2 linked regions of the Xenopus tropicalis genome follow. The protein of the gene in region 2 purifies or fractionates together with the protein of the main gene of each other region. This does not show direct contact. Links are inferred from orthologs where the notes say so. Each region holds a gene or a part of one and is shown on either strand. Other genes may lie near its edges. The genes, in order: stk40 and fos.

Evidence for each region.
Region 1: the proteins of fos (region 2) and stk40 purify together in Homo sapiens (affinity purification with mass spectrometry; 3 studies listed by BioGRID and IntAct, counting the BioPlex papers as one, with this or other methods). This does not show direct contact. The link is inferred for Xenopus tropicalis from reciprocal best matches to the Homo sapiens genes FOS and STK40.

What each region holds. Positions count from the first base shown.
Region 1 is NC_030678.2:86,284,187-86,295,367, forward strand, and holds the start of stk40 (serine/threonine-protein kinase 40), read right to left. Parts: upstream 5,200-11,181; 5' UTR 5,075-5,199; intron 423-5,074; exon of another isoform or gene 332-422; intron 1-331. UniProt on the Homo sapiens protein: May be a negative regulator of NF-kappa-B and p53-mediated gene transcription.
Region 2 is NC_030684.2:82,305,475-82,316,730, forward strand, and holds fos (proto-oncogene c-Fos), read right to left. Parts: upstream 7,126-11,256; 5' UTR 7,041-7,125; coding exon 6,897-7,040; intron 6,408-6,896; coding exon 6,183-6,407; intron 6,066-6,182; coding exon 5,958-6,065; intron 5,756-5,957; coding exon 5,126-5,755; 3' UTR 4,186-5,125; downstream 1-4,185. UniProt on the Homo sapiens protein: Nuclear phosphoprotein which forms a tight but non-covalently linked complex with the JUN/AP-1 transcription factor. In the heterodimer, FOS and JUN/AP-1 basic regions each seems to interact with symmetrical DNA half sites.

The sequences.
Region 1 (11,181 bases), on a different chromosome or scaffold from region 2:
AAGTTCGGCTTTTCACTACGTGGAAGAAGGAAGCGCTCGCTGCTACCCTGGGCTGGTGCGGTTCTCTCTTAACAGGGGGGTTCTCTCTTAACAGGGGGGTAACATCCCGGGGTAGAAGGTAAGCGATTTAAGTCACTTGGGGGTGCTTAACATTTTGGCACCCCCAAGTGACTTGGGCTTTCCTTTAAGAGGAAGAAAACTAGTCAACATCCCTGGAAACAGATTCCACCATCTAACTGCTGTTAATATCCTCGGTGCTCCAACAAACAAATATAGGGATCATTTACTTCCATAAGTGCAGCAAGAGCAAAGTGTAATTTTGAAGAGTCACCTTTTTTCGCATAATGCAGTATTTTTTCCAAAATTCCAGTGTAGTTGAAGTCAAAAGGGGTCCTTGTGTGTCACGCAATTGCAGAAGTAACCTATGGTAAAGTAAGCAAATTTTATGCCTGTATCTTTGGGATCCATATAGTCAACCAGCAGCCAAAAAATAATAGCTTTCCTGCTTGATCAGTGTATTCAGACCTTGGCTTGTCCCAGCCAATTTGGCAATGCATAAATATACACTATAAGATACACTATAAGATCCGCTCGCTTGGCGATGTCGTTGATGCGGTCCCCGATCCGACTGGATTTTCTAACCTGGCCGATCGAGATCTGCCCAATTTCAGGCCAGATATCGGTCGGCCAGGCCGCTCGGTTCTGCCCATACACGGGCCGATTAGCTGCTGAATCGGTCCAAGGGACCGATATCGGCAGCTACTATCGGCCCGTGTATGGGGACCTTTAGTGCATTATTATAATTATACTAAATTATACTAAATTATAATTTCAATACTTTCTTTAAATTTGCTAGTTTAAATTGTATACATGCAAATCACAGCCTAAGTGAATAACTACTGTATAAACACCTTTTTATCAAACTTTAACGCCCGCAAGTCACGCCTCTACTAGCAAATGCACATTTTTTTTAATTAAAAGTAGTTAAATTATATTTACCACCTACATGAAAAAAACAGAACTGGATAAAAAAACAGGGGGCTATTCAGCATTCACAAAAAGGACCTGACTAGCTCATTCTCAACCTGTCATGCAGGGATGATAGTGGGCAGGAGAACTCCCAAGGACTGACTAAGCAAAACCAAAATTGGCAACACTTATTTCAAAGAAGAAAGCAATAAAAAGGCATCTTAGTAAAGCCTAAACCACCACCCACAACTGTGTCATTTTAGTAAGTCAAAGAGAAAACGAATGTCATTATTTCCATGGAAGATTTAAAACATTCTACAAGTGGGAAAAAGAAAAAGTAACTCATCTATAGCTCTAGAGAGAAATAAAAATAAACCAATTGTACCCCTTTACCTCATCCACAGACATGTTAAGCACATGTCTGGACCAGTCCCCCTCAAGGTGATTTGCTTAGTTATTAAGTAGTGTTATCTCCTCTGACCTGGTGCCTCTAGTGCCTCCAAATCCTAGTTCTAACCACCATTCCTGTCTTTGGATTATACTTCTTGATCACCCGTTCTGTGCTATGCTTCAAATTGCTCCCCATGTATTACTTAACCTGCTTTTGACAACTGCATTTGATTTCCAGTTCCAATTCAGTTTTGCTCAGTCAAGTCCCAAACTTGTGCTACCATTAACTCAAACACCCTACAACACTTTTTTGCTAAAAATTAACATTCAACTTCCTGAGCTATTCTGGACTGCCTTTGGTTGTGCTACGCTTACCTGTCAAAGACTTTGGGGGTTAGGTAAAAACAAAAGTGCAGTAAACCATATAAACCAATTAGTAGAATCCAGTCAGCTGTTTAAAAGCAAACATTTTATTGATTGCTATGGATCAGAGTTGTCCAACTGGAGGCCTGCAGGGCTGGATGTAGCCCTCCAAAGGATTTTTAAGACTTTCAGTGCTGAGAGGCTCCACGGACTTCACTGCATTACAATATCCTTTTTATTTAATCAGGCCTATGAACATACTTAGTGGTTACCACTTCTGTGCAAACTTAGTGCCTATTATCACATACGAGGACATGTGTTATACCTACTTTCATTTTCCTTGTCAATCCCCTTGCACCAGTGGGTAGATTTTCTTGCCTCCTTCACAGTACATTTTTGTTCTTGCAGAGGGGAGATACAGTTTTATCTCCAACCTTTCATTCAAAACATTGTTGGGCACTTGCCAACAGATCTGAACTCTATTATTTATATTAATTCAATCTTTAGTCACATATGCCATGTGCTTATGCCGCTGAGAAAACTGTATAGTAATCTATGGGGACCACTATGCCTGCAGTGTAAGCAATGGTGCCAGGCTGGTCAAGCATTTATGTGAGATGGGTTAGGTGTTCATCGGGCACTGCGCTTCTCATGGTTTACTATGACAGATGGAGATTGGCATTTTAACTGCCCCTGTTTCCACCTTGCATAACTTTTTAGCCTACAGAATCATCTTTAGCTTAAAGGAACAGTAACACCAAAAAATGAAAGTGTTTTAAAGTAATTAAAATATAATGTACAGTTGCCCTGCGCTGGTAAACTGGTGTGTTTGCAACAGAAACGCTACTATAGTTTATATAAATGAGCTGCTATGTCAACACGGGGGCAGCCATTGAAGCTGGGAAAAAGGAGAAAAGGCACAGGCACATAGCAGATAACAGATAAGCTTTGTAGAATATAATGGGGTTTTATCTGTTATCTGCTAAGTAACCTGTGCCTTTTCCCTTGTAAATGGCTGCCCCCGTGGCTACACAGAAGCTTTATTTATATAAACTATAGTAGTCTTTCTAAGGACAACACACCAGTTGTACCAGTGCAGGGCAGCATTACATTATATAGTAATAACTTTTATACACTTTAATTTTTTGGTGTTACTGTCCCTTTAAAACTGTAATGCCTAATGAATATATTTTCTGATGTATTCAGATATTTTTATCCCTTGGTAAAACAAACGCACAGTAATTTCATCATGTCTAAACTGCATTGTTTTCAATGGAGCTGTTGGTCAGGTGCAAAAACCACAATGGTTAATGACACACAAGTCGGTTTCTCTGTTGGCATAAAAAAATCTGACTGTACGTTTACTAAAAGCCACAGAATCGGCTCATCAGCATACACGCAGAAAAGCTTATGTGTGCATTTTTGTGCCAAAATCTGCACAATTTGCCCCATGTGCACAGTGACTGGTGGGTATGTCATAAATGGAAATAAAGATCCATACAGAGTAAAAAGTAAGTATTTTCTTGAGATTTAAGGGCTCTGGCACACGGGGAGATTAGTCGCCCGGCGGCAAAACTCCCTGTTCGCGGGCGACTAATCTCCCCGGATTGCCATCCCACCTGCGAAAATGTAAATCGCCAGTGGGATGGCAAACGCGGCGGCGCGATTTCAGTGAAATAGCGCAAGTTGCCTTGAGAGGGAACAAAATCGCGCCGCCGCGTATGCCATCCCACCGGCGATTTACATTTTCGCTGGTGGGATGGCATTTCGTGGAGATTGGTCGCCCGAGACACAGTAGATTTGTCGCGGGCGACTAATCTCCCTGTGTGCCAGAGCCCTAAAACTGCACCCAGACTGCCCTTCTTAGCACCTGGATAGATCATTGGCAGATCAGATAATATTACAGCTCCTATTAACTTTGTATAATCGTTAGGTTGCTGAATGGAAGGTATTTACAGGTGGTAATCTCCATTTTCCAGCTCAAAGAGAATTTTCTGACAATTTCCCATGGGCGACAAAACATCTCAACTCGTATTGGCCTTACAACAAACAGACCTTTCCAATCCTTTGAAATGCAAAGTAGTATCTCATGAATACAGATAATGTAAACAATAGCCTAAACCTCAATCTCCCCCCCCCCTATTCTAGTTTTATGGCATTAAACAACCATATTGGCTATCCTACATTGTTTCTTTCCCTGCCACATTATAACCAAGGCATTTACTTTACCTGCAAACAAAGCAATCACTGCAGAATAGAACTGCAGATTACTGCTGTGTTTTTCATTTGCATTGAATTACATCAACAATGGAGTGCCACTATCCATGTTAGTCTCTAGTTCATTATCCTTTACAAGTTTATTAGCAAGAATCAAGAATGACTTAAAGAGTGTAGCAATTTAAATATAGAACAATGCTTATTACAGTAATCCAATCACTATATTATCCTTGTTCACTATCCTTTGTTTACCAAGGTGACCTCTAAAATATATATTATCATATCTCTAACAACTGCCTTTCATTCATCTGAACTACGACAACCCCACCATTGTAACACCTGTCTAGCTGCTTCAGGAAAATACCTTGGGTTTTTTTTTGTTACGGGACAGATGCACATATCCACCAAAGAATAACCACACTGGGCCCTACTTGCAAGGGGGTTTGCAGTGGCGATCCTGATTAAAACTATGTAGAAAATACAGTATCCAACCATGCAGCAGCTACCTGGACAACACAATAGTGGAGTGTATAGCACTGATATTATAGGTTTTAATTCAGCCAGGGCACTATGTGCAAGGAGTTTGTATTTTCTCCACTGCAACAGGGATTAATGTAAACTATGGATAATCTCTGCAAATTATAATGCATGGTCAGGGTGGTGGCTGAGTAGGGTTAAAGAGGCAAATTTTAATGTAATTTTTTTTAAAGCAAATCACGTAACCATAACATAAGCCAGTGCTTCCATTCTTAGCCTTCAGCATACCCCTCTTGTGAATAATACATATAGCGCACGGTTGTAACTACAGCGCAGATTACAGTTACGATGGAATCTTGACAGCACGTGATTGATGCGTTCGTATTCCTTTAGCAACATGCAAATTAACTACACACCAAACACCCATTATAGCCCTGGCCCCTTACTAGTATCAGAAGCCGGTCCCTCCGGTGTCTGCAACATAACAAAAACCCGCACACATGCGCCCTCCGACCACAACACACTCGGAGAATGGTACGGTGTATAGATTTGATTTTCAGGGACAACTGGGGAGCCACAGGTTGCAGAAGCCAGCATTATTCCTTATCCTCCTTTCCCGTGCCTCACACGCCCTTTAGCTACCCCGAACGCTTATTACCTGTGACACAAGCCAGCCCGTGTTCCTCAGTTCTTACACATCGCTCTGGTTCAGCTTAAGGAGTAAGGTACAGCGGACACCGGGCCTGCGCCGCTCACCGACCCCGGCTCTCCATGGCTGCGCACTTGACAACGGAAATTACGCATCAGGCGCTGTAAAAAAAACGGCAACGAATCGAAACAAGACTAACAAAACCTCGGCCCCGCCCTGTTACACCTAAAGTCACCTCCTATTGGCTTGACTGAGCCCTCCCTTTTCCAAACCTACGGGGGCCGTGTAATCACGCCCCCAAAGCTACGAGGGTGATGAGATCATGGCGCTGCTGAATGGCTTATGCTTGTGAATGGAGGCGGCTCTGATTGGCCGCTGCCAAGAGTGATTTAAAGCCCAGATAATGAAACTGGAATAACTATTGCAGCCGCTTATACTGATTAAATAGGACAGAAAGAGTCTCACACCTCACTATTATTATTGCATCAGATTAGTTTGGGACGGTGTTGTTATGCAGGTGTAATTATTCTGATTGATTTGATTCAAGATTTTGTTGCACGCTGGCATGAACGCAAAAGGATTGTGAATACACAGAGACTTGTATCAATTAGTTAAACAATTCATACAATTTTATTTATTCTACCTACCTATACCTGTTTAGAATACAGACTCGTTGTACCGTATAAGCATATTGTATCTTCTTATTTGTACCAGAGCTGCTGCTTTTACAGAAATCACATATTTAGAAGAAAACATTGGAATGGCCAAGGAGTGTTGATGATTTTCCAGCATGCACAACTGTCTCCAGTTTAGTGACACACACAAGAAAGCAATGAGAAAGATTGGCTGAAAATTGTAAATGTCCAAATTATCAAATATAGTGAATAGAATGTATACCCATAGGCTGTATGGATAGAGGCTCATTGGGCAGACATAGATCTATTAACTTACTTTGCAGCGGATTACAAATGCACAGTTAAAGCATGGTGATACCCAGAATATGAATTATTTTAAAATGGGGGAGGCATAAGAGCTGTTGGAAGTGCACAACAACGGTATCCAGTGGTACAAAACAGAGGAGATGGATTCACAATTGTGAGGGTCTGGGGGAAGGAAGGGGGTAAGGTACTGAGTAGAGTCAGGCATGGAATTATAGAAAGGCAACATAGGCTAGGCTAGGGATCCCCAGCCTTTTATACCAGTGAGCCACATTCAAATGAAAAAAGATTTGGAGAGCAACACAAGCATGAAAAAAGTTCCTGGAGGTGCCAATAAAATAGCCAATATAATTGGCTGGAAGCCTACAGAAGGCTCTGCTTGGCAATATCACTGATTTTTTTTTTATGCAATCAAAGCTTACCTTCTAACCAGACATTCATATATAAGCACCTGCTTTAAGGCCACTGGGAGCAATATCCAAAGGGTTAGCAAGCAACATGTTGTTCACATGCAACTGGTTGGGGATCACTGGGCTAGGCTAAGGCCATCCTGGAACACCTTCCTATGGTTGATTCTGAGTGGCACAACAACACCATCATAAAAAGAGAGGACAGAGGAGAATTTTGAGTTTCCTTTGAGGGCCCTGAAAGTAATTCACTGTTACTTTATTGTCCATCTTGGCTTGTCAACCCAACCCCCCCCCCACCACAGAACTGGCAAAAAGCCAGGACTGGTAAGCTATAGTGTTCCCTGAAGGAGGAGACAGGAGAACTACTGTAAGACAAGGTCACATAGTAGCAGGTCCTGAGAGAGATATTTAAAATTGCCCTGCATTATAGGTACAGAGGGCCAAAACAGCCCCCACCAGCCCAATAAATAGTGACTGTCTATGGCATCTCATAGCAGCATTTGCCAAGTTACACAGATTGCCAGTCTGGGCTGAATAATTCTGGAAATTTGACTTCAGGTTACAGCCCAGGCCTAATGATATAATACAACTTATAACTGGGCTTTAATTGCTCTTAAATTGTTGCAATTACATAGCAATGCAAATCCAGGCAACTTTCCAATATATGTTAATTGAAAATGTCATTGGGTTTAAGGGAAAACAAATTATTCCCTGAATGGACCAGGCAGAGTAGCTGTTAATCTATTTGGCTTTAAAAGTATTAAGTAAGCGATCAACCATATGTAAGCAAATCTTACTTACGGTTGGGCCCCTAAATTTATGCCACCCTAGGCCCAGGCCTTTGTGGCTTTGCCACAAATCCAGGCCTGGTAAGATCCACTTGCTTGGCGTGGTTGCCAAGCGAGCGGATCTTTTCCCGATATGCCCATCTACAGGTGGGCGATATTAGGCTTATTCGATCGATTGGCCCTAGGGCAGGTGTAGGGCTGATCACTTACTACCCTTAAGCCGGCCATACACGCACATACATACACGATATTAACGTACGAAACCTCACTTCGTACAATATTCGGTGCATGTATGACAGGTCGAAGAGGTGACAGATATCACAAAGGCTGCGGATATCGGTCGACTCGACGATCGGCCAGGTTAAAAGATTTTGATTGGGCGCCATTGAAGGTTCCCCGAGCAAAATCTACGTTTAGGGCTGAAGCACCAGGTAGAGGTAGAATTTCAATTGTTTCTACCTCCATATCTGACGGTTCAGCCCTGAACGTCAGTGAAGGGTGGGAACGGTCTTTCGTGAGACCAATGGTTGCAGGAAAAATCGGAATTGCTAAGTGTATCGCCACCTTTAGACAGCAACACAAAGGGGCAGATTTATCAAAACACGAGTTCGAATCCCAAATGGGAAAAATTCGGATTGGAAACGAAAATTTCTGAAGATTGTAAATATCACAAAAATGCTTACGAAAAAATCATATTAGTCACGATAATATTGTATTGGCGATCCGAAAGTCACAAAAGTTTCTCACCGAATGATTGCAAACAGCGGCATAACCGATCCGATTTTTTGTGCTAAAAATACGAAAAAGTCGCACAAGGTACGAAAAAGTCGCAGAAAATACAATTGGACCGATAGAATGAACGCTCGGAGCATTCGTGGATAAGTGACCCAAAGTGTCAGATGGTGAGGTAAAAATAAAAGAGTGAAAACAGCTGACACTAGTGATAAGCCACAGTGTACCAATTAATGCAATGAACACAGCATACTTGCATATAAAGATTTTGGCAAATGTGTTAGTTTGGAGCCAAGCACCAGAAGTGGTGAAATCCCAACACCGAAACTGCATTCGATTCGTGTCTAAGTGCAAGTGCAGTTATGTGCATTTTAACTTATCAGCCGCAATTTGCATCAGCTGCAATGCCACCTTGTGACCACAATTATGCTGGAATACGGGGGGGGGGGAAACTGGCTTGTGGGTAAAATCCATGGTTAAATTGCACTTTGTACACTACACTCTGCATTTATTGCAGATTGTAATTGTTTCTTTTGAAAAAGTTAGACCTATTTTAAAATTAACTATATTAAGATTTATTAAGAAATGTGCAAAGTGCAATATTCAGAACGATTCACCAAAAGCTACAGACATGTTCCTATAAAATGAAGAAATGTGCCAGTATTGCTAATAATGCAGCACTGAATCATTGGTTTTGTTTGCCTATTTCTTCCTACAGCCCAGCTTCTGTGTTTTGTGTGTATATTCAATGCACTAATGAATCTCTTTAGGTTCTCAAGGTAGGTATTACAGATGACACATGGTGGCACAATGGTCAGCACTGCTTTTTTGACATGTTGCTTCAGTTCCAGCAAGGGCACTGCAAGGAGTTTCTAGGAGGTTACAATTAAGAACGTAAAGTGGAAAAAAAAAAAAAGGCACAAACAGTTATTGGTTATGATTTTCCTCTATACACATTGTGTTCTCCATTTTCTGTATTTTTACAGTCTTCTGCGCCTTGTTATGTACAACTCTATCCAAGGTGGGGGGTGGGTGGGATAGCTATGAGCCTCCTTCCACTGCCATTCTTAGATAGATTGCCCTAACTTCTATCTCCCGACACTCCGGTGGTAAATTGTATATTATACGTAAATCTGACTGCTACTGAAAGCTGCATGTGACTGTACCATTCAGGTGCCTGCCTTGATGGTTCCGACTTTTGAAAGAGTATAGCAGAAACTATCTACTTAGACCTGTAAATAAGTAGGCTGAACTAATGCTAAGCTGTTTCAAGAGACAATACCAGAGGTGCAGAAAGAGACTGAAAACTACTGCTTTCAATTTAGCTTACATTTCCAAATAACTTTAAAAGCACCAACTGTTTTTTATGGATATTTAAATTAAAATTGCTTCGATTTTCTTTATTAATAAACACAAATCATATTTGTGGGTTTAGATCTACTTTAAGTACAGGGGTGCTTTCTCCTATAAAGTTGCTCCTTATTTACAATAGCTGCAGTCTCCTTTACTAACATAGGGATAATTTGCACCTGTATTATAACCACCAACAACCAATCAGTATTTAGCTTTGTACAGATGGTACAAGTATGCATTTCAGTGCTGAAAACTGCTCTTTGTGTCTGCACCTGGGCCAACACAGTGGCTCCAGGTGCAGTCACAACAGTTGGCTGAGGCAAGCATTTATCCACAGGTCAAGAATGAACCTGGTAAAGCAGTAGCCTTAAGTGGACACAGGACTCATTTATGAATGCTGTAATAAAAAGCGTTTCAATGTGCAGAAGGCTGTTAGGTAGGATTGCCATCTTTCAACAGCTTGCACTCCAGACAGGTGGGCGGGCAGTGAAGTGATGAGGCGGGCTAGTGTCACAGGGTGGAACCGTGATGTCACAGGTCAGAACTGTGATGTCACAGGGGTACGAATTTTATGTTGCAATCAGCGACTGGTCAATCGTGTGTCAATCAGGGGGAGTCCTGTAGGATTTCCTCATTTGTTAAATTACTAGGCAGTTTTGACCCAAACAGCCTCTCCAAAAACAAGGCTTTCCTGGTCAAAACAATACAGGTGGCAACCCTACTGTTAGGGTGCTGCCCAGCTGCCTCTATTTGCACCACCTCAAAACATGAGATGTCAATATGAATATAAATATAATATATATATTATATAGTATTTCACTTTACAATTTCCTGAAAAAGCACCATAACAGCAAGAAGCATTTGCACTTTCTATTAACTGCACCTTATATGCATTTATTTAAATTCATATAAAGCCAGCACACAGTGGCTGTAATAAAAGCAATGTTTTTTTGTTGTCTGTGCATATGTGTGGGCCAGAGGCTGATCCTGTCAACACAGATACACACCCTGAATGAGTCAGCCAACATCAAACATCTGTAATCCAAATATATCTCTGAGGTCCAAGACTTGGCGCCTGTGACTAACTTTGCCTCTAGAGTGACATTTTCAGGAACTCTCATAAACATATTAGACAGCTCACAGGGCTCATTTACATCTGCAAGTGTAAAGTGCAATTTTGAGCACAGTCTCCATGTTTATTTCTCACAATGCAGCATTCTCTTCCAGAATGCCAGCACCATTATGGTTGCAAAAGGGCATGTGCACCTTCCGCAATTGAGTTTGGTTCGCCAAAATAAACACAACTGTATGCGCATTTCCACGCAAATTGAATGCAATTACATGAAAGTCAGACTTCACTTCTGTTGTTTGGTGTGTGAGTGATGTCTGCCCTTGATTCTTTAGGTGCAAGTGTGCTGTGCCTATTGACACAGGGCACAAAGGGATCCCAGGAGCTGCCGCCTGCTCAGGAGGTTGCAGTGGCTCCAGTGATCCCCTGCATTAATAGGCACAGCAACACTCAATCTGGGATGGAAGAGAAGGGCTGAGCGACACCAACCACAGCTATACAGAAGTCCAAGAAGCACTTTTTAATGTAAGTACCTAATGAAGTGAAAGTGATTTTACTCACAGCTGATCGACTGCACTTTGTCAAAGTAAATGAGCCTTGTACATATGAGGTAGAAAGTGGAAGAAAATGTTCTAAATAGTTTCACTAATACATTCACTTATCCTTATGGCATCCTTATAGTGCTGTTCCCTGATGTAATGTCACTCAGAGACATTGAGATAATCTCGCAGCACAGGATTTGTCAGTGTTTTGTCGTCACTGGGTGTCCCAAAATGATGATGACAGACAGCAATTGTTGCCAGTAGACAACTGGAATCTCCTCAAC
Region 2 (11,256 bases):
CCCCCAAATATTACGGAAGTAAAAATAAAATAATTTAAAAAAAAAACACCTTTGAACTTTATTCAAATAAAAGTAAATACATAAATAAATTGTTGCCATAAACAGTACCCCCCATAGACAGTAGCCCCCACACACAGTGCCCCCATTTGCCTCATACACAGTACCCCCCATAGACAGTAGCCCCCACACACAGTGCCCCCAATTGCCCCCATAAACAGTGCCCCCAATTGCCCCCATAAACAGTACCCTCCATAGACAGTAGCCCCAACACAAAGTGCCCCCAATTGCCTCATACACAGTACCCCCCATAGACAGTAGACCCCACACACAGTGCCCCCATAGAAAGTACCCCCAATTGCCCCCATAAACAGTGCCCCCAATTGCCCCCATAGACAGTAGCCCGCACACACACAGTGCCCCCATAGACAGTAGCCCCCACACAAAGTGCCCCCAATTGCCTCATACACAGTACCCCCCATAGACAGTAGCCCCCACACACAGTACCCCCAATTGCCCCCATAAACAGTGCCCCCAAAAATAAGTACCCCCAATTGCCTCATCATACACAGTACCCCCCATAGACAGTAGCCAGCCCCCACACACAGAGCCCCCAATTGCCCCCACAGAAAGTACCCCCAACAGACCAGTGATGTTGGCGGCTCCTTCTCTCTTATGCCGCGGCAACAGGCACTACTATAAGGTTGACGTCATACGCACGGGTGCAACCTTATAAAAGGGCCTGTTGCCGCGGCATAAGAGAGAAGGAGCCGCTGGCGAAGACTTGCTTGGTATGTTTTTGCACAGAGTGCGCACTCTGCGTAGGGAGCGGCGGTGCTGGGTGCCCCCCTGGGTGTTGGTGCCCTACGCAGAGTGCGTACTCTGCGTATAGGGAGCGGCGGTACTGCTCTGGGGGTGCTTCTCTTCAGCAGGGACAGGGAAGCTGGTCAGAGTTGATGGGAAGATGGATGGAGCCAAATACAGGGCAATCTTGGAAGAAAACCTCTTGGAGTCTGCAAAAGACTTGAGACTGGGGCGGAGGTTCACCTTCCAGCAGGACAACGACCCTAAACATAAAGCCAGTGCAACAATGGAATGGTTTAAAACAAAATATATCCATGTGTTAGAATGGCCCAGTCAAAGTCCAGATCTAAATCCAATCGAGAATCTGTGGCAAGATCTGAACACTGCTGTTCACAAATGCTGTCTATCTAATCTGACTGAGCTGGAGCTGTTTTGCAAAGAAGAATGGGCAAGGATTTCAGTCTGTAGATGTGCAAAGCTGGTAGAGACATACCCTAAAAGACTGGCAGCTGTAATTGCAGCAAAAGGTGGTTCTACAAAGTATTGACTCGGGGCTGAATAATTACGCACACCCCACTTTGCAGTTATTTATTTGTAAAAAATGTTTGGAATCATGTATGATTTCCGTTCCACTTCTCACGTGTACACCACTTTGTATTGGTCTTTCACGTGGAATTCCAATAAAATTGATTCATGTTTGTGGCTGTAATGTGACAAAATGTGGAAAAGTTCAAGGGGGCTGAATACTTTTGCAAGCCACTGTATATTTCTATTTTTTAACCTGCCCCCAGGGCTGTTATTTTGGTGACGGGTGTGCTCCATTCTGTTCTCTCATTAAAACACGATTCATTTTATAAGCAATCCCTTTTAAAGCCAATGGCATGTGGACATTTGACCACCACTGTTCCCAGTCAGAGGGAAGCTGTGGCTAAAATTGCTTCTGTCTACCTATTACCACTTACAATGTAAATCAATTAGAAGCATGCTGCCAAACACACAGAGCAGTGAAAGGTGGATGTCTGTGCAAAAATGCCCACTTCAGTTGTTATTTTTGAAACATTGCAAAGATTTTTTTATCTGCCTAAGCATTTATTTTGTACCTTTGGCAGAAGCGCAGATACCTTGCTTGCCTAGGAGCAGAAAGACCCAATATTGCTGCTGAAAATTAAGTAAAAATGTCCTGTCCATCTTTCCCGGTCCTTAGAATTCATCAGGCCTTTTTCATCCACTTCTTACTCAGTCTCTATATTTTCCTATTTTTTTTATCTTTGTATACTATAATCAAATGGCAAAAAGTTGGAGGGCCCACTGGGAATTTTCCTGGTACTCTGACACTGCCCCCATGGCAGCCCTGTATGTCAGATTTATCAGTGAAATTACTTGCAGAGTAAGTAAACTGTGACACCAAAGCTGTCAAATGCATATCTTATAGGAAGGAGGAAAACCAGCACTGTAATACTTAGTAGCTGGAGCCACCATTCTGTAATTTACATGGAGGTATCTGCCAGTCATTTTACAAAAGCTACTGAAAATTAAATTTTACTGAAACTGAAAACTTTGTATTTTGACTAATTTGCGTGAAAATATATGATTGGAGGAGTGTAATAATTTAATTACTTTCTACCTGATAATAATGTTACATGCTTCAAGTAGTTTTAATATACAGTTCACTAAAATATGGGTACGCAGGAATGCATAGCAAGCGTTATATCTCTAGGAAAACTGCAGTTTATTAATTAATGGTGTCACTTCCTCAGTTACCAGTGCCTCATTTGGGCTCTGCCCCTTGGTGAGGCACAGGTCCATTTTGGACTGGCACCTTCCCAATTAATACAGCACTGCCTGTGTTTAAGAGTGCAGGTATTCATGAGTGGTGACTAGTGGAGGCATGTAAGCCTTTTAAAATTAAACCAAGGTCCTGATAGTATGCACCCAGGTTGCAAAGTCTAATGGCACAAGGGTCATTTGGTCTTTATTTATTTTTTTATAGTTTTTTAATTATTTTCCGCTTCTGCCTCTTTCCAGCTTTTAAACAGGGCTCACCAAAAATTATTGTTTGTAAGACTACAATTTTATTGTTATTTCTACTTTTTATTACATTTATTTCTATTTGGTTGCTATTTATATCAAATTCCTTCATTTTTATTTTTTTGTGTTTTTTTTTTGTTTAGCTTTTTGTTCAGCAGCTCTCCAGTTTGGTATTTTAGAATCTTTATGGTTGCTATGTTCTTATTTACCTTAGCAACCCGATCAGCAGCTCTCCAGTTTGGTATTTTAGCAGCGAACAAAAGGCTAAATAACTAAAAAAACACAAAATAAAAATGAAGAACAATTGCATATTGCTTTGGAACTAAGAGTTATTTTAATACTAAAGTATGCATTTTTCTTTGTCCGGTATCTAATTTTAACAGGTCAGTTAACTTCTGGGTCTGTTAGCTGGCTTCTATTACATTGATTTCTTATTGTGATGTAATGGCCCACCCACTTTGATGTAGACATGTTGTGTAGTTGGTCAGAACTACAGCAAACTGAAAAAAGTAAGATGGGAGTAAGTTTAATTGCAAGGGAATGCTATGTGTAAATGCTGGATTTTTTCTTATATTACTGTACATAACCCAGTTATCTATTCTACAAGATTTTTCTCTTTTAATAATGAGAATAGTGCATAAGAGGATAGTGATTGCCATTTGTAGTTTCCCACTAACTGCAATTAAAGGCATTTCCCAGTGCAGCCACTGAAAGTACTTTGCTGGAATCTCCAGCTTTCAGTAGTCACAATCCAAGTGCCTATGGCAAGAGAGGTTTAAGACTTGTGGGCTGTATGATTGATGGTCAATTTAGTTCATAAATACTCATGACACCTAGCATTACTTTACGCTTTTTTCTTTTCATTAAATCAGAAAAAAATGCCTGGTCCTTTTCTTTGCTGATGTGTTCATACAATACCAAACATTTCTATTTATTTGAGCCCAAAATAATTGGGCATTTAGCTTGCCACTCAGGATTTGTACACAACTATTTGTATATTTTGCAACTAGTTTTTTTTTGTTGTTGTTGTTGTTGTTGTTTTTTTGTTAACCATGAGTACCAATACTTGCCCCCAAAAAAAGCAGTTACAATACAGATTTTGTATTGGAGAACAAATGAAGCTATACGCAAAAATGTTATGGTGTTTTCCCAATCAAGCTGTAATTAAAAAGGTCTTGGAGATGTTAGCTTTTTAGGACATGGTAGCTTTTTAGGACATGGTAGAAGAAGCACACATCTGGACACATGTTGGACAACCCCTTTCTAAATGGATAGAAAATGTAAACCTGACAATATAGTTTCTCCCCTTAAAAAGGAAGGGAAAGGGGTGGGGGTGAGAATAGACACACAACTGTAGTGAATGCAAAAAAAGATTTTATTCTTATGTGTCTTGGACAAGAAGCAAAATAAATGCTTGTGATCCTGCTCCAGACTTATTGGCACTAATGTCCGCAATGTCAAAGTAGAAAATAAAAATATAAATATTTTCAATATCAATCATAATAAATAAAACAAAAACCATCTACAGGAAATCAACGTTTTCATGGAAAACTTGGAAAGACAGTATTACAATCAACGGAAGAAACAGCACGTTCACCATGTGTCCGGCCCTTAAAAGGATATCTATATATGATCTATATATCTGACTTACAAATGAATATCATGGCTGGTACAAGGATATTTAGAGCTAACTCCTCTAAACACCTTGTACTCAGCCAGCACCATAACATTCCTGTGAGCTAGCTTAGACTACATTTCCAAGCTAACAGCACAAGGCTTTTATCAATATCACAATTACCTAAACAGGTTAACGTAGGTCATTGCCACTAGCAGTTAATGTATGGGATACATCATGCTACATATTAACAGAATTCACAACAAGTCCATGCCAGTGCTACAGATCAGTAAGAGGTATCAGGCTCCAGTGGCAGTTGGAAGTAGGAGTCAACTACACAACCATATAAGTTAACAGGGATCTAGTGCTAGTTTGTGATGACTGGGAAGTAGGAGACTCTTGGCCTAGTACAGTGCTCACTGTGATATTTACACTTTTCAAAACATTACCTATATCTGAGCCTAGGTCACATGCTAGTACCATATTTTTTGGATTGACATGCACAGTGAACACTTATGGCAGCAAAGAAGAAGTTCCAAAAGCATGACAGTAAAAGCCACATATGGTGCCTTATTGCATTTTGGAGTCAAAGGAAGGAGGCACCAAAATAAACCAGTTTAACAAGTACAAGTAAAAGTCCCCAGCAGCATCTCACAATGGTTGTGTGAATGTCCCTCAGCATTACAGAGCCAAAAGGGTGGGAGAGTTTAGAGAGTCTGATGACTGCTCATTGCTGCTGCTTCCCCTCCGATGTGCGGCTCCACAGTTGGGGAAGTGGTCAGATTCTGGGTATGTGAAGACAAATGATGTTGTATAGGTAGTGCATGTTGGAGTGCAGGTAACAACTGGTGTGCACAGAGGCTCCATGTCTGCAGATAAAGTGCTATACAGTGGCTCCCATTCTGATGTGTAAAGAGAGCTAGTAAGATCTACATCTGGCACAGAACGTGCTGCATCAGTTACACCTGTGTGAGAAGAGTTAAACAGAAAATCATCCAGTGGTTCAGATTTGAGTTCCATAGAGACTTGCAGCTGGGTGTTCTCCTTTTCAGGCATGGAAGACTGAGAAAGGCCAATGGGAAACAGAGGCTCTGCTACAGGCTCCTGAGAGCTGGAAGAACAAGGGGTCTCTGAAATCAGACCCAGATCAAGAGATGAGGTCAAGTCTTGAAAAGCTCCATCAAGATCATGTGGAATTTTGCAAGCTGGTTTGTGAGCTGCAAGTATAAACTCCAGCTTTTCCTTCTCCTTTAGAAGGCCGGCAATCTCTGCCTGCAGGGCAGATTTCTGGTCCTCCAGGTCATCAGTCTCCTACAAGGGAAGAAGGTGGTATAGTAAGAACCTCAAACAATCAAATCCTCCAAGAATGGAGAGCAATATAGATCCCATTTATGTTTTCCATCCCTCTGCATATAGTCAAACTAATATATATATATATATATATATTATATATATATATAATATATAATCTTAACATTTATATAAACTACTGCCTATTTAGTAGCCTACTTACCGCTTGAAGGGTGTCTGTTAACTCCCGACGGCGGTTACGACACTTGGCAGCTGCCATCTTATTCCTTTCTCGTCTTACTTTCCTTTTTTCTTCTTCTTCTGGAGAAAGCTATAAGCAGAGAAAAGACAGACTGTCAATATAAATAAACAAGTAGCTTATAGATAAACAACATCTACCTACACCTGCATTGCAGAAACTAAAGGAAAACAAAGGTCTGACAGTTACCTGCTCCATTTTTCCTCTTCTTCCCAGGCTCTGACCTCTTCCAGCAGATCCTTTCATAACGCTAGATCGGCTGTAAGCTGGTGTGGACCCATAAGGGTGTGCCCGAGACTGTGATGGGGCTACAGAAGAAATAAGGGTTGGCTGTACAAGCCACTGAAGATCTGGTGAGGTGGAAATGGCAGTGACTGTGGGTACAAAACTGCTGCTTGAATCACCACCGAAGTCCTAAAAACACATAAGTAGAAATAGGAGACTATCAGTGAAGAGAAAATACGTATACAATCGGCAATACTGCACACAATAAGTGTTATGTGTATCTATACAAATATACACACACAACCCAGCCATTGAAATTGATAATCCCACCCGGGTTCCGCATTTCCAATCCTAGCACACGAGCCCGAGTATGACAGAAATAGCTCCGCCGTCACTAGTGACGCAGGAACAGCTCTGGAGTCTCCTGAATGAACTCTGGATTTTTATCAATGGAACCGCTTTACACATACAGTGGGGGGAGGGGCAAGAGAGTGCAAAGACCCTGTTGAAGTCAGGGCTACAACATGAACCAGGATTTGGGTGTTAGTCCCAGGAGCAGTGACTATGGATATTCGGGTGCCAAGTCTAAACCCAGTTACTTGTACCCATACAACCAGTAAAGTAAGCCACCCGCAAACACTTCATCACCCTCTTAAAATCATATATCAGATGACTTACCTGTGGAGAAACAGGTGACCCCATGCTAGAGAAGGAAGCTGCAGGGGACGGGTAGTAGGTCAGGCTGTCCCCGGCTGGAGAGGCACTACTGCAACGGGAAGAAGCTGCATCATATTCGGTGCTGCTGGAGAAGGCGTGATACATGGTGCCCTTTGAGGGTAAGAATGTAAAACCAGCTCCGGGAGTAGCAAGTGACAGAGAAAGACCGTCAGTCCTGGCTCACCAAGCTGTCAAACCACTCCGTACGATGAAGCAATTAGTCTGAAGGAACTTGCCTCCTCTCCAGCTTTTTATACCCTGTCAGAGGTTTTTTTTTTACTTTTTTTCAAAGCCTACGTCACGAGTTAGACCCTACCACTATTCAAAGGGACGAGCAACTCTAGTATCAACTCTCGGGGCTTTCGTTTTCTATTTAATTGTGCTGAATGTCAAATATTCTTCAGTTCTTGACAATGACCTAAATGAATATTCAAGGTAGCATTACCTAACAAACGCTTATTTTTTTGTCTCCCCCCTCGGATTTACCCAATGGTTTCACCGAACTCGGGAATCCAAATGACGCAGATATCCTTATAAGGAAAACATCCTGTTTGAGGGCGGTTTGAGGCGGCTAGGGGTAGGGCTGCCGGGAAGAGCCCTAGCAAGCAAAGACAGACACAAAAAGGGAGGGGTTGAGGGTGCGAATTGGGAGAAAGGTAAAACTGAAGAGTGGAAAAAGGTTACGCAGCCCTTTTGAAAACAATATCCGCGGTATCCGTGTTTAATAAAAAATACAATTTTATGTTTATGTAATACAGGTATACACTGCAATTTAACATAAAAGGCAAACGCTGTACAGTTAAATTCTGCTCTGCATGTTAATGATGTAGACTGTAGAGTATACATGTATGATGCAAGTCACTTTCGTTTATCTATAAAATGAATAGCGATACATTTGTATAATTCATATACCCTGTTCTGCCTATAATACAATTACATTTTGTCCTATGTAAAATATGAAAGTGGCTTAACTAAAGAACTGTGGGCCCCAGTAAAAATTACACTGGTTTCCTGGTTTTCACCTGGGGACCCCTTTCCAAGCTTCCCACCACACTGTGCCCCATATGCCTCCAGCTATTCTGTATAACAGAGATTAATATTGATCTTTGTTGCGCTGACCCCCTCAGCTCCAGAAACAAAAATAGCAAACTGCTCAGTGTATTATACAAATACATTGGCTCAGCACTACAGAGCAAAACATCTTGCATTATTATCATTTATATATAGTGCTTATATTTTTTTCACAAGGTTATTATCATTATCATGCTATTATAATTTCCCATATAAATGCAGTTTACAATCTAAGGTCTCTTTTATGTACACACAGAATAGCGCAAATTTTATCAGACGCCAATTCTTTGTATATGTTATTGGAGTGTGGAAGAAACTGAAGTCCAGGAAAGAACCCTAAGCAAGCACAGGGAGGACTTCTTGTACTCCTGTACAGCCCTGGCTAGAATTAGACCAAGGAGCCCAGCACCGCAAGGCAGCAGTGCTAACCACAGTGATTAGCATGGCTGTCTTGCAGTGCTGGGCTCCTTGGTCCATGCTGCCATTCTACACAAATACACTGCATATAATACTGATATATCATTACTAATATATTGTAATAACATTGACATCAAGTATAATTTTTACCAACTAGGTAGATGGCTACCCTTATTATGTTTTCTGCAGATTAACCTATTCTGAGCATAATGATACAGATAGGCCCTGCTTTGTCTATAATATCAACACACCCTCCTCTGCATATAATACGAACACTGCTAATGTAATTTGCAGTATGATGCATGTAACACAGTATATAAAAACAGATGTGGCAGATCAAAGGTGCTTGGTGTTGTTTGATTAGTATGACAAACCACAACATGTTAATGTATACTAATATACTATTTCCTATATATAGAAACAAGTCAAGGATACCTGGGGCATACAGTAGATTAGTGTGAAGCCTTTCCACACCATTGTCATATTTATATACATATACTTTTCTGTGTATATTGCAAAAACATAAATTTGGGGTAAAACAAAATACTATCTGTTTTGGTTTCATGCTCTGTTTTGGTTTATTCTGCTTTGTTTGTTTTCCTGTTACTATTTGGAGGCTCCCTTTCAAATGTGGGAAGTACAATCTCCTTTCCCCTGGGGCCTGCAGGGAATTCTCTCACACCCACATTAGAGGCCAACACAGGGTTTCCCTCCCTTCCTCCCTCCTTCATCGGATGCCGGGACAGGGATTCCCTCCCTCTCACAGTTGAGGCCAGGAATGGGCTTCCCTTTGCCTGTAGTGACATCAGCAACTTGCACGCATAACTTTACTTAGAATGCTCTTCCAGTTAGACAACATTTTCCAGCATGAGGCGGATGGCTGGGGTATCCCTTGCTTATATATTCACAACTAGTCAATTGTAGCAGTAGATCATGGGGCATTTTACAAATAACAATCTAAAGTCTTCACAGAAGAAACTGGTTATGTACGAAAAAACTAAGGGATACACTTTACACAGCAGATATGTACAGATCAGACTAAAAGCATAAAATGCACTACAAAAGGGTTTATATTCAACAGAAAACAGTGAGCTATACCCTCAGTTTGCAAGACAGATATTACAGAGTATGAATTCTTTTTCCTTGAGTTTTTTTTACCGTATTCCACATACTGACAGCATATAGTGTGTCACTTTTTACAATATAACCTGTAGTTGCTCTCCACAAATAATGTAGGTTTTAGTATTATTATTAATTAATAATATTAACATGTATGTATAAAACATTCAGCAGCAGTGTACAATAAATGGGTTAATACACATTAAACATACAATAAAAAACATGTACAAACAACCAATAACTAATACAAGAGCTAAAGAGGACCCTGCCCATAAGAGCTTACTAAAGATATACTGCCTTATTAAAGTATTGAACTGGGAAAGTATTATAAATTGGAATATAACTATATTTATTTTAGGTAACAGCAATGCGTAATTTTCTTAACTGTATGTATATATATATATCTGCACTGGTGTATAACACACTAGTGCCGTCACATGTCTTATATCTGCTTTCGAATTCAGAAACATCTCTCTGATCAATCAAGCTGTAAACGAGCAGACATGCAGAATATAAAAGCAAAACAAGAGTGTATATATGTATGTGGAGGTGTGTATTTCAATGATGGGGGTAAATTTATTTATCACACTTCAGTGGACCTTTGAAACGACACCTGTCTACAGACTAAGACAAAGGTCAAAACGTATTCACCATAAAGATTCAAAATGAATCTATATAATTAAGAGTGCAGACACCTTAAAGCACTCAATCAGATATTCAGAGTTCCAATAAAACTTGAATTTTGTCTTAATATAGTGAAAACCCACATAATGCTATATAAATAATGTACACAGGTATGTTTGAACGGCTGATTGCAGTGTATGTATGTACTGTTGGTGTCCATAATCATATATATATAATTAAACATACATTAACGTTTATATTTTTCTATGTCTCATATACGTGTACAAAAACTATATTTGTATTTAATTACATTATTTTAGTGACATCACGCATCTCTAATTACCTCAATTTATTTTTAACGTATGCACATTACGTTTATATTCCAAGTTTCTGTATAAGTAGATACTAAAGCCACATTTTTCTAGCGCTTTCTGTTTACAAACACCTCACAAACACAAAAGTACAACCCTAATACACAAAGTTACAGCACAACAAACACTTCCAACCCCGGAGACCGTTGCTATGGAAAGTAGAGCTACGCCCCACGACAGAGATAGCCAATAACACTACTGTAACTAAGCCGTGCCGGATCTTCTGGCTGTTGCCATGGTGAGGGCGAAATATTTGGCTCGCACTTAGACAAATATGGGCAGGAGGCCAACGTCATTGTGTGTTTCCGTGGGAACGGGTAAGACAGCACGTCATATAGTTGTCACGTGGTGCAGTTTCCCGCCTAGTGGGTGCGGCGTTACTATGGCTACGTGTTGTGTGTTGTTATTTGGGAAGGCGTGTTTTAACCACGATATTTACGCCTTTCGTCTCTGGCCCCATCTGTTTCCCGTCTTGAAGCTGTGTGGATCACATGGTCTACCAGTCATTGCAGCTCTTCTTTCTCTCAGTGTTTACCAGCACGGAGAGGGGCACGGCACGCAAGATATCGGTCTTGCTGAACAAGCTGCTTCAGCCGACCAAGCTTTCCCGCACTCCTCCGTGCAGACATAGTATAGTGGCAGGTAACCGAGTGTTTGAGCATCCCATAAGGTATGCGTGTCCTTGTAGCTGTGGTGTGTCATATATTGCAGTGTTAAAA